2 linked regions of the Arabidopsis thaliana genome follow. The protein of the gene in region 1 interacts with the protein of each later gene in a pairwise test. Each region holds a gene or a part of one and is shown on either strand. Other genes may lie near its edges. The genes, in order: AT5G14910 and AT3G50560.

The links.
Region 2: the proteins of AT5G14910 (region 1) and AT3G50560 interact in a two-hybrid assay, tested with the Arabidopsis thaliana proteins (one large-scale study listed by BioGRID).

Annotation. Positions count from the first base shown.
Region 1 is NC_003076.8:4,821,636-4,826,298, reverse strand, and holds AT5G14910 (Heavy metal transport/detoxification superfamily protein), read right to left. Parts: upstream 2,718-4,663; intron 2,601-2,717; 5' UTR 2,485-2,600; coding exon 2,191-2,484; intron 1,957-2,190; coding exon 1,903-1,956; intron 1,640-1,902; coding exon 1,580-1,639; intron 1,232-1,579; coding exon 1,103-1,231; 3' UTR 647-1,102; downstream 1-646. Other genes in the region: AT5G14900 (helicase associated (HA2) domain-containing protein), read left to right, coding at 2,718-3,623.
Region 2 is NC_003074.8:18,760,472-18,766,212, reverse strand, and holds AT3G50560 (NAD(P)-binding Rossmann-fold superfamily protein), read left to right. Parts: upstream 1-2,156; 5' UTR 2,157-2,377; coding exon 2,378-2,519; intron 2,520-3,381; coding exon 3,382-3,647; intron 3,648-4,066; coding exon 4,067-4,160; intron 4,161-4,265; coding exon 4,266-4,377; intron 4,378-4,761; coding exon 4,762-4,966; 3' UTR 4,967-5,207; downstream 5,208-5,741.

The sequences.
Region 1 (4,663 bases):
TATCAGTAAATAAGAACAAATAACTCTATGGACTTTTTGGTGATATGTTTTGAGTACCCCAAGAGACTAGTGGATGACAAATTGAAATTATTAATCTTCTTATCAAATAAATAAATAGCATTCGATTTGCCCATAAGGCTGTGTCGCTTATATATTTCATATAAAGAGGCTCTTCACTTCGATTATTGCACCAGTGAGCAAGGGTTTGTCGTTTATGTTTAGCTAACTTAGCAAGCATGGCCTACGAGATTACTACTATACTTTGTTTTGAAATATCTAAGCTATATGGTATATATCTTTCATATTTTCTAATAAAAAATTAAGTGTTCTCAAATCATAGATGGACAATAGCACATGAGTTCTTTAAATGGTTGCGGTGATTATTATTATTATTTATTTATAATTCTGATATTTTCGAAAAAGAGGTCAACAGTGTAATTAAAGTGAAATCGACAACGAGTACATACATATTTTTTATCATTACATATGTCGCGAGTACACACACTTTCCTCTTTTCTGTTAACATGATAAAATTTTGTTACGAATGAATGTTTCTTATCTTCTTTTACGTAATGAATAAACTAAAACAGACTCCACGATGACATAGTTTCATAAATTAAGATGTTAAAACAGAGGATTGTTTCACATGTTTTGGTAAGAACAGGTTTTTGGTCTATAATATCACATTTTTTAAAAAAGTAAAGATTTGGGTTATAAGTACAACAATGCATGAGCTGTGATTCACCATATCATCAACCACAGTACTCCACAATGTCAACATCGTACATGCATACATATACATAGTGACAAATGACAATCATATCCACACACAAAACTAAATGCATTGTACAAAGCAATGAACCTAAAAGTCTATAAAAATGCCAACCTCCATGCTTTGTGGGAACCCATATGTATATGACCCACTAATCAATATAGATATTTTCCATTTCTCTTTTATTTCAACAAAGAAAACATTAATTCCCACTTTCTAAAAAAAGTTACCACATTTGTTTTCTTTAGAGGAACAAATGAAAGAAATTATCCCTAGAATTGAACATTATGAGTTTCTTTAATCACAAAATGGAGGAAAAGGATGATTTCACTAGACAAGAACCTCATCGTCATCTTCAAAACTCAGATTCAAAGTCTGTAACTTAAATCCAGCTCCTTGTATAGTCTCCACCAAGTTTGACGCCACTCCTGTTGCTTGAACCGTTGTTTGCTTCAAAAGCTTCACATACATTGATCACAACATAAGCCAGATTCAATTGTACAATCAAACATAGAGATGTTGCTACGAGCAGTAACAGAACCGTTCATATAAAGGCCTTAACTATTCAAGGTCAGGCTCGAGGCTTTTGTTATACGGCCCCAAAGACTAATCCCCTGGTTAACCACCAAAATGTACAACAAAATGACATATTTGACCAGTCCAGTCCTTCTAAGGGTGTGCCAGCCATTATATCTCTAATAACATATTCAACATCTGTCCTTATCTATTTATATCCTCTAAACATATATGTGTACTGTGTAGGGGTGTGAAGAGACATGTAAAGGCAATGTTGGATGTAAAACATACCTCAACGACGGCAACACCTTCAGAAACCTGAACCTTTAAATTGGAAACTCCATCAATATCCTGAAAGAACAAAACAAGTATCAATTGGAACCTTTATATTCACTGTTTTTGTAAGCTATAGGTACTAAGGAAGATTTAGAGCGTGGAAAGAGTAAAGTGAACACCCAAATTCCAAGTTTAACACAACTACAAAGATTAAATTGAATTGAAACAAGTAACCAAAAGGGTTATATAATCCAAGAACCAGATGCATTCACAAAGATTCTCGTCAAGCTCCACACAGATTTGCTAGTTCAAGGAGAGATTACAAAGCAAAGTATTACCTGTAAGGCCCTTGTCACATTAGGAATAGCTGCTTCGTTCAAAGTTCCATCAGCCTTCATAATCAAGCAAAAAATCCAACAATGTTCAGACTCAATTTGAGGCCACATGAAATTGCAACAGAGTAATGCTCATAGTATCTTCAAAACAGTATCAATACAATTTTGCAAACCTCATTTCTAAGACCTTATAATACAACCATGAATCAATCCTACTATATCTATTAAAAAGCCATAAGTGGAGAATGAGGATGATAATCACACAAATTCACTGGACAGAGAGTGATGTACCTGGAAAAACATGGTGAGCATGTCTGAAGGAGAGACAGGAACAGAGACAGTCTCTTGCGGTTGCTCCTCTGCGACAGCGACACCTTCTCCTCCTTCTCCAATAGACGAAAGCTTCCTCAATCCAAGGCGATTTTGTTTTATAAACCCAGCAAAACTGCAATTGCGGCTATTTCCGATAGCTCTGGTCCGAAAGTTGAGGTTTTTCGACAAAGGAAGAAGGTGGGTCGAAGAAAGATTAGGGCTTTTGGTTCTGCAAAACGAGTGAAAGGTAGAAGAAGCTGCAATCGACGCCATTTTTCACTACTGACCCAATCTTCTTTCACTCGATAAGGTTGTGCGAGTTACAAGAGAAGAAGGTTTTTTCATTTTTGTGTTTTGCTCTTTTCTCACATTATCCACTCGAAGCAAGCCTGTAAAAAGACATAAATACCCTTTAGAAAAGCTCTCTTTCTGTCAGAAGGTTCATAAATTCATGGAGTAATATAATTTTTGACCATCAAACATTATATTACTCCTTGCAAATGACAATGACAAACCTTGCAAACACAGTTCTGACCTTGAAAGGACTTAGTGTGAAAAACTTGGTACGCTTCGATCTTATAGATTCTCCTGCTCCTGATACCCTCGCTCGGGCCTTGGACGATTTGTATCATTTGGGAGCACTTGATGATGACTGTAACTTGACAAAGACAGGTGAGATGATGAGTGAGTTTCCTTTAGACCCACAGATGGCAAAGATGCTCATAGTCAGTCCTCAATTCAACTGCTCAAACGAGATTCTTTCGATTTCTGCGATGTTATCAGTACCAAATTGTTTCATCAGGCCAAGAGGAGAAGCTCAAAAAGCAGCAGATGAAGCCAAATCTAGCTTTGCACACATTGATGGAGATCATCTCACACTTTTGAATTTGTTCCATGCTTTCTTGCAAAACAACCAAGACCCAAATTGGTGCTGTACAAAGTTCATCAACTACAGAGCAATGAAGTCTGCAGTTAGTGTTAGAGAGCAGTTGGTCCGGATCATGTTGAGGTTTCAGATTAAGTTGTGTAGCCCTGATTTCAACAGCAGGGACTACTACGTCAACATAAGAAAGGCCTTGCTTGCAGGTTATTTCATGCAAGTGGCTCACCTAGAACGCACTGGCCACTACTTGACTTTCAGAGATAAGGATGACCAAGTGGTGCACTTGCATCCTTCCAATTGCTTGGATCACAAACCAGAGTGGGTAGTTTACAACGAATACGTTTTCACTAGCCGAAATTTCATCCGAACCGTCACACATATTCGCGGTGAATGGCTTGTAGATGTTGCACCACATTACTATAAGCTTGCTAACTTTCCCAGTTCTGAGGCCAAACGAGTTCTTGAAAGGCACTATAAGAAGAGAAAACTGTCAGAAGAGAGGAGTTGTAAATTGTATAGCAATTCTTAAAGAGAAAATTTTGTTTTTAATTACATTAATTTTGTTTTTTTGCCATTGTGTAAGCTAAATATATCTGCAACTTGCAATGAAAAGCTTAGTTCCAACACCAATGAGATGCTTCCAGCTGCATAAAAACTCAGAGCTAAACTTTCACATCATTACCTTATTAGTTGAATAAGATTCCAATACCCATATCCATCCCTTAATTCAGGGTAATATGTCTAAATCACTAAGCTATTACCACTTATTCTAAAAGCATATTGTTCATCAATTTTAGCATCTCTGCAGAAGTAATAAGATCCATAACGCTATACCGTCACTTTAAATCATACTGCACCTAATTAACGGACAAGATGGACAACATTTAAAAAATATAAGATCCACCAACGATATAAAAAATGTACAAGTGAGTAGTAGCTAAAACGTAAAAAAGTTTCTACAGAAAAAAAAAAAAAAAAAAAAAAAAAAAAAAAACTGATTCAACCACAAGACAAGATCATTGTCTGAAACATTACATTGTGTTTAGTTTTCTGAACACATGAAACTGTAGGAAATCAGCAGAGGTACTTAGAAGTAAACTCTAGCTTTTGGCAAGGTTCCAAATAGGAAATTGCATAAGGTAATTCTACAACAATGTAATGTACCTGAAAAAAACATGGTGAGCATGTCTGAAGGTAGAGACAGGCACAAAGACAGTCTCTTACCGTTTCTGTTGCTATTCCTCTGCAATTGCAACCTTCTCCAACCCATTAAATAGCTTCCTTTCTCCTATTTCTTGTTGGATTATATACTGTATTTTACATAAATATATAAATATATGTTTCCTACCTTCATCATGTCTTTCTCTAAAAAGTTTATCTTTGTGTGTAGAATTACAAAAATTGATCACTAACAATTTTCTCACAAAATTTGATCAAATAAAGTTAATCAAAAATGGGAGAAAATAGTGATCAAATAAATAATTTCATTCAAAGTGAAAGAATTACAAAAAACAAATAAATGAAAGCTGTGTAAAAAAGTAATATTTCTTTGCAAAGAAAAAAATCCAC
Region 2 (5,741 bases), on another chromosome or scaffold:
AAATTAGAGGAAGTATATTAAAATAAATTTAAATAATATAATAGTATTGGAAAAAAATGGAGTGTAAGTGTGTAACATTATAATAGAAACATATTTAAAACAATTTTGTAATTACAACGATAGCTACTTTTCAACTCCTTCGGGACCTCTTGAATTAATGTTACACCTCAAGAACACGTAATTGAATTTGTTTTTATGTGACGGTGCGAGAGCAATCATGAGAAGAAAATAACATAATGTCTATATTTTGTTTTGTTTTCACTTAGAGAGTTTAAAAACGAGAATATGATGAGAATGACCAGACTTTATGTTATTTTCATAAGGTTGTGTTCATAAACGGCTAAACTCGGTTTTTTAAAGAAACTAATAATCTGATATTTTTATAGTAAAGACACATATTTAGCACTAGCCACTATATTATATGGTTTTGTAGTCTTACTGTTTATTGAATAATTTAGAACACTGTATATTTTTTGTTTGATGTTAAATGATTAAATATGTTAATATCAACTTAATATGAACTTAACTAAAAGACTCGATCATATAATGCAATGCACACACATGAATAATTATATAAAGGTGATATCGAAGGGCGTTACAAGAGAATGGAGGAAAGATTTGAGAAGATTTAGACCAATCATAGATGATATGGGTTAGTTACTCAGTTACCAATATCTGGTCCCATGTATAATGACATAATATTTGTAATTAGTATCTTATTGCCACTTTTTCATATATATATATATATATATATATATATATTTTTGTTCAAGTTTATCTCCTCCGTATTTGAAAGATCCTTTTTGTTGTTGCAAGAATCTATCAATCCTTATCTTCCGCAGTTCACATTCACATATCCCATCTAAGATATCTCATATCAGTCGTAGGATAATCTTTGATAAATCTAAAAGCAAGAGTAATGTTAATCTTTAACAAATAAAAGAAAGAGTAATGTAAGTTAATTTGAGTATATTAAAAAAAAAATGCAAGAGTAAATGTTCTTGATCATTCATAATTCTAAAAGCACGAGGGTAATGTTATCGGCAATCCTAATCACCTTTGTTAAGGATATAGTAGTGGTGACACGAACACAAATAAATATAACTTTGTAACCGATATAAGAATCGGTGACCATTATTTTTGATTCCCTTTTTTTTGGTAACGCTTTCCATACCGCTTTGTAATTAGTCATTCTAAAATCAGTAAGCTCTATACCGCAACGGTAAAAAAAAGTTATCAATCAGAGCCCACATTAAAAACTAAATTAAATATAAGGATATACATGTCATGTAATGTATCTAGAAACTTCGATGAAATACATTTGTATGTATATGTTTGAAATGCCTATGAGCTGTTGACAGAAGAGGAAAGGGGGCAGCAAATGTCCAACTTGTAAGACAAAAATAAAAGCCAAATCTATATACAAAAATCAAAAGGGGTAATCTCATAATAATAATCCCCTTAAAAAGAGAGCATATGGGTCAACCTATTTAATAAATTGTTATCATATTCATTACTTTTCTTCATTTCTTATAAGAAATATATATAAACTCTTTAAAATGTGCATACAAAATTCCTTAATTTTATGTGAAAGTTATTAATCATCAATAAATTAAGTTTTAACATCACATTAAATTTAACATTACAAGCCTACAAAACAATACTATAAGGGTTCTCTCCTACTCTTTCCTATAATTCACAAAAGTTTCTATAGTTTCTTATTATTCAGAAATGCATAAAAATACTATTAATTTTTAATGTTAAACAATTTAGAACGACCAAATCATAAAAAAGTGCAATGAAAAATTCGCATATGGTATATTGACCAATAGATCGAAATAAAATCCTCGACCACGTAATTTACAAAAGTCGGTCGACCTTATATGGGTCTTTTCGAAACATCTTGTAGAGTCTAACAAGTAAGAACCAATTGCTATATTTTCTTCCACATGACATGTCTCTTTGTCTAAGAACCACACTATCCATTGGACAGTACCATCTTTCACCTAGAACACATATATTATATATATATAGAATATTAATAATTCGATAAAGGTATACGTATACTTATGCAAATTGTTACATCATTGCAATGTTAAAATTATATAATTGCTATCAAAGGAAATGAAACTTTTCTGATATAATGACAAAGAAAGGTGTGTATATATGTATATATAACAACCAAAAATTTATCTAGTCCACAAGAATATTTCTCTCTCTCACTCTCTCAACACAATCTTATTAAAGGCCTAGGTTAAGGGGACACAACATAAACTAAAATTTTCTTATAATTATTTTTCACTATTTATCGATTTTATCCATAGAGAAGTAGCTATAAAGAGAAGAAGGTGGAGAAAGGAAAGATCATAAAGTATCGATGATGAGAAACGTAGGGAGTTCGAGCTCTGGCAGCAAAGGCATAGCGGCCGTAGTCGGCGTTGGTCCAAAGCTCGGTCGCTCCATCGCTCGGAAGTTTGCTCACGAAGGCTACACCGTCGCCATCCTCGCTCGTGATCTTGGTTTGATTCCTTTTCTTTCTCTCTTTTCATTTTGTTTTTTGCTTTTCTTTTTATCCATATCTTTATCTATTCATACACTATACACACCCACATGTTTCCATGTATAAATATGATTTTTTCTATATATGTTCCCATGGGAATTTTCTTCTTCATTTTTATTCCAATGAAGAAAAGGAATTGCGGCAGTTTTCTTCGCAAAATGAGTTATTTTTGAAGCCTTGAACAAACAAAAAAGGAGAGTTATTTTTAGAATGTTTTTCTTCGCTGGATTTCTGCTTTTGGCAAATATTAATGTGGCTGACTCACACCACACAGTCACACACACACACTGACACACATACATGCATATTAATCAATATATAATTTATAGTCAAAAGGTGCATTTTAAATGTATATTTGGTTATAAAAAAAAAAGATTTTGGGTTTATACATCAGTATTCACTATTCAGTACTTCACTATAGGCTTAACTGGTTCGTAAGACATAGTACTAATAGTGGAAATTTTTCAGTGTAAATAAATGTGTCGATAAATTCAGCTTTTTAAGAACCAGTACAGTGAAAACTTATTTGATTAAATTTAAATAATTTTGTTTTTGTTTGACACAAAAGATACTTTTTCATTCTGTTCGGTGATGAGAACATTAAACTGGTTTCCATTTGACTATAATAATAAATAGTTTTCTTCATCCCTCCATGTATATGAAATAGTTACTAAGTTACGCCCATCAGCTAATATTAATCACAAAACGGTGCACTTATTGCCGATCCACTACAAAAAATATATATAACACTTTTTTTTAGTAACACTTAAGGATATACTCAGGTTGGTCACTCTCTTAATATAGTCGGGTAAATTGTGCAGGTAGGTTATCTAGAGTAGCAGAAGAGATAGCAAGAGAAGAGAAAGCACAAGTGTTTGCTATAAGAATTGATTGTGCAGATCCAAGAAGTGTAAGAGAAGCCTTCGAAGGAGTATTGTCGTTAGGGTTCGTGGAGGTTTTAGTGTACAATGCTTATCATTCTTCTTACGCAAGTCACCATCCCACTTCTTTCACCCACATTCCTTTTCAATCTTTCCAAACATCTATCTCTGTCTCTGTCTTCGCTGCATTTCTTTGCGCTCAACAGGTGATATTTCTTGAAATCGCGATTAGTTATTATATACGAAACAATATTATGTTTTCTTTTGAAATCCCTCGCATGTTGGTCATGGCCCAAAAACCCTAGAATATAAGGTTTGATCAGGATAATCTTTGTATTGACTCATAATTTATCAAAAACACTTGTTAATATTATTGGAAGCGTCATTTTTTATTAGACTTTTAATGTTTTAGTTAAAATAGATAAGATTATTTCCACAAGAAGTAAATTTTTAATAGATTACTTAATCATTTGTTGATGTGCTAGTTGTACCAAATCCTGTTTTTATTTTATGTCAGGAAGCAGAAGCGTAAATGTTATAGTGAATGATTTCGACACTTCAATTTCTTTAAAAAGCTTCTTATTTCTAAGGTTTATATTTGATTTATAATAAATGGTACCAAAAGGTTACTCCCGGGATGATGGAGAAAGGAAAAGGAACTATACTCTTCACCGGTTGCTCGGCGTCTTTGAATGGCATTGCTGGTTTCTCCGAACTATGTAACTTTCTCAAGATTTTTAAAAATGATTTTATTTAAATTTTTCGCAAAAAAATATATTAATTAATGGGTTAGTCACTGAAGAAAATATATGAAATTGGCACAGGCTGTGGGAAATTTGCGTTGAGGGCACTGTCTCAATGCTTAGCAAAAGAATATCAAGCTTTTGGAATACATGTGGCTCATGTTATCATCGACGGTGTGGTTGGACCTCCAAGGTACACACAATTATGTGATCATTTTCCATTATAATTGAATTAGAACCACAAATATCTGTCCGAAAAAGGCTCTTTTAACTTTTTATACCTTCCACAAACGGCAAGATTCTGATCCAAACCGACAAGATTCTTACCTCAAAAAAAAATCGCAAATAAAGAATCATGTAGCTCCACTTCTTATTTATTTGCTATTTTTTTCTAGCAAATGGAAACCATTTTTTGATTCCATAGCCTCTATTTCATTATCTTCTATCGGTCAAATATGAAAAAGAGTCCCCACACTCACAACGGTCCACTCTATTGACACATTTAAGCATTTGAAGATATTACAAAATGAAATAGTATCGCATATATAGATAAAATCTCTTGAAAATGTGTTTTCAGAGAAACAAACATCCCTCCCCGAGGAATGGTCGCAGAGCAATCATTCAACGTAGGAGGCGAAGATGGAGAAGGAGAAGGAGAAAGCTCGGGAGTGATGGGAATGGATCCTGATGTATTGGCTCAAACTTATTGGTATCTCCATGTTCAAGACCGGAGAGCTTGGACACATGAACTCGATATCCGACCATCAAACCCAAATTTCTAGCTAGTACTTAAAAAAAAATACAAGTTGATTGGTTTATGATTTTATTCAATGCTATTTTAGCCAAATGTGTATGTATGTGTATTCTTGTGTTTGTAATGTAATTAAGTATTTAAAAGGGTTGGTTTATGATTGGCGTGAATAAGCTATCAATCTCTTATCTATTAATAGTTTCATTTTGTTCTTTAGTTTGCATGACTTTAGAGATGATGGTTTTGTCTTGTCGGCTAAGGCTTGAACTTTTTTTGTGGCATTAAGTTTAAAAAGGTACAAGTGCCTTGGTGTTTAAATTCGGGACACAAGAAGATCCGACAAGTCATGTGAATGGACTTAAGATCCGATCACAAAATAAAAAGGGACCCCCTTAAAGGTAAACTAGAAACAATGGTCCTTAAGTGTTGTCACGTCAAGGAACTACTCTATGTTTCGGGGTCCATTTTTTCACACGAGAGTAAAACTTTGGTGATAGTCAAGTCATCAAGAGATCATTAACGAGTCTTGTAGCTTTCTTATACTTCTAGAATAACAAAATAAAAGTACAGATAAGCATTGGTGACAAGAACACACTGAGAGTTTTCTTTGACTACACATTTGTGCTAGCATTGTGTTATTGTATTGCGTAAAGAAGCGAAAACTAGACCAGGAACAGTGAGTTAAAGAAGTTGCATGCCACCCCAAAAATCATGAATACCGGTAGTTCGCTAAGAGTAGGCTTAGTACAATCATAAGACGATCATATATGACAAGCGAACTTATGAGTGATTCGAACACAAGTTTA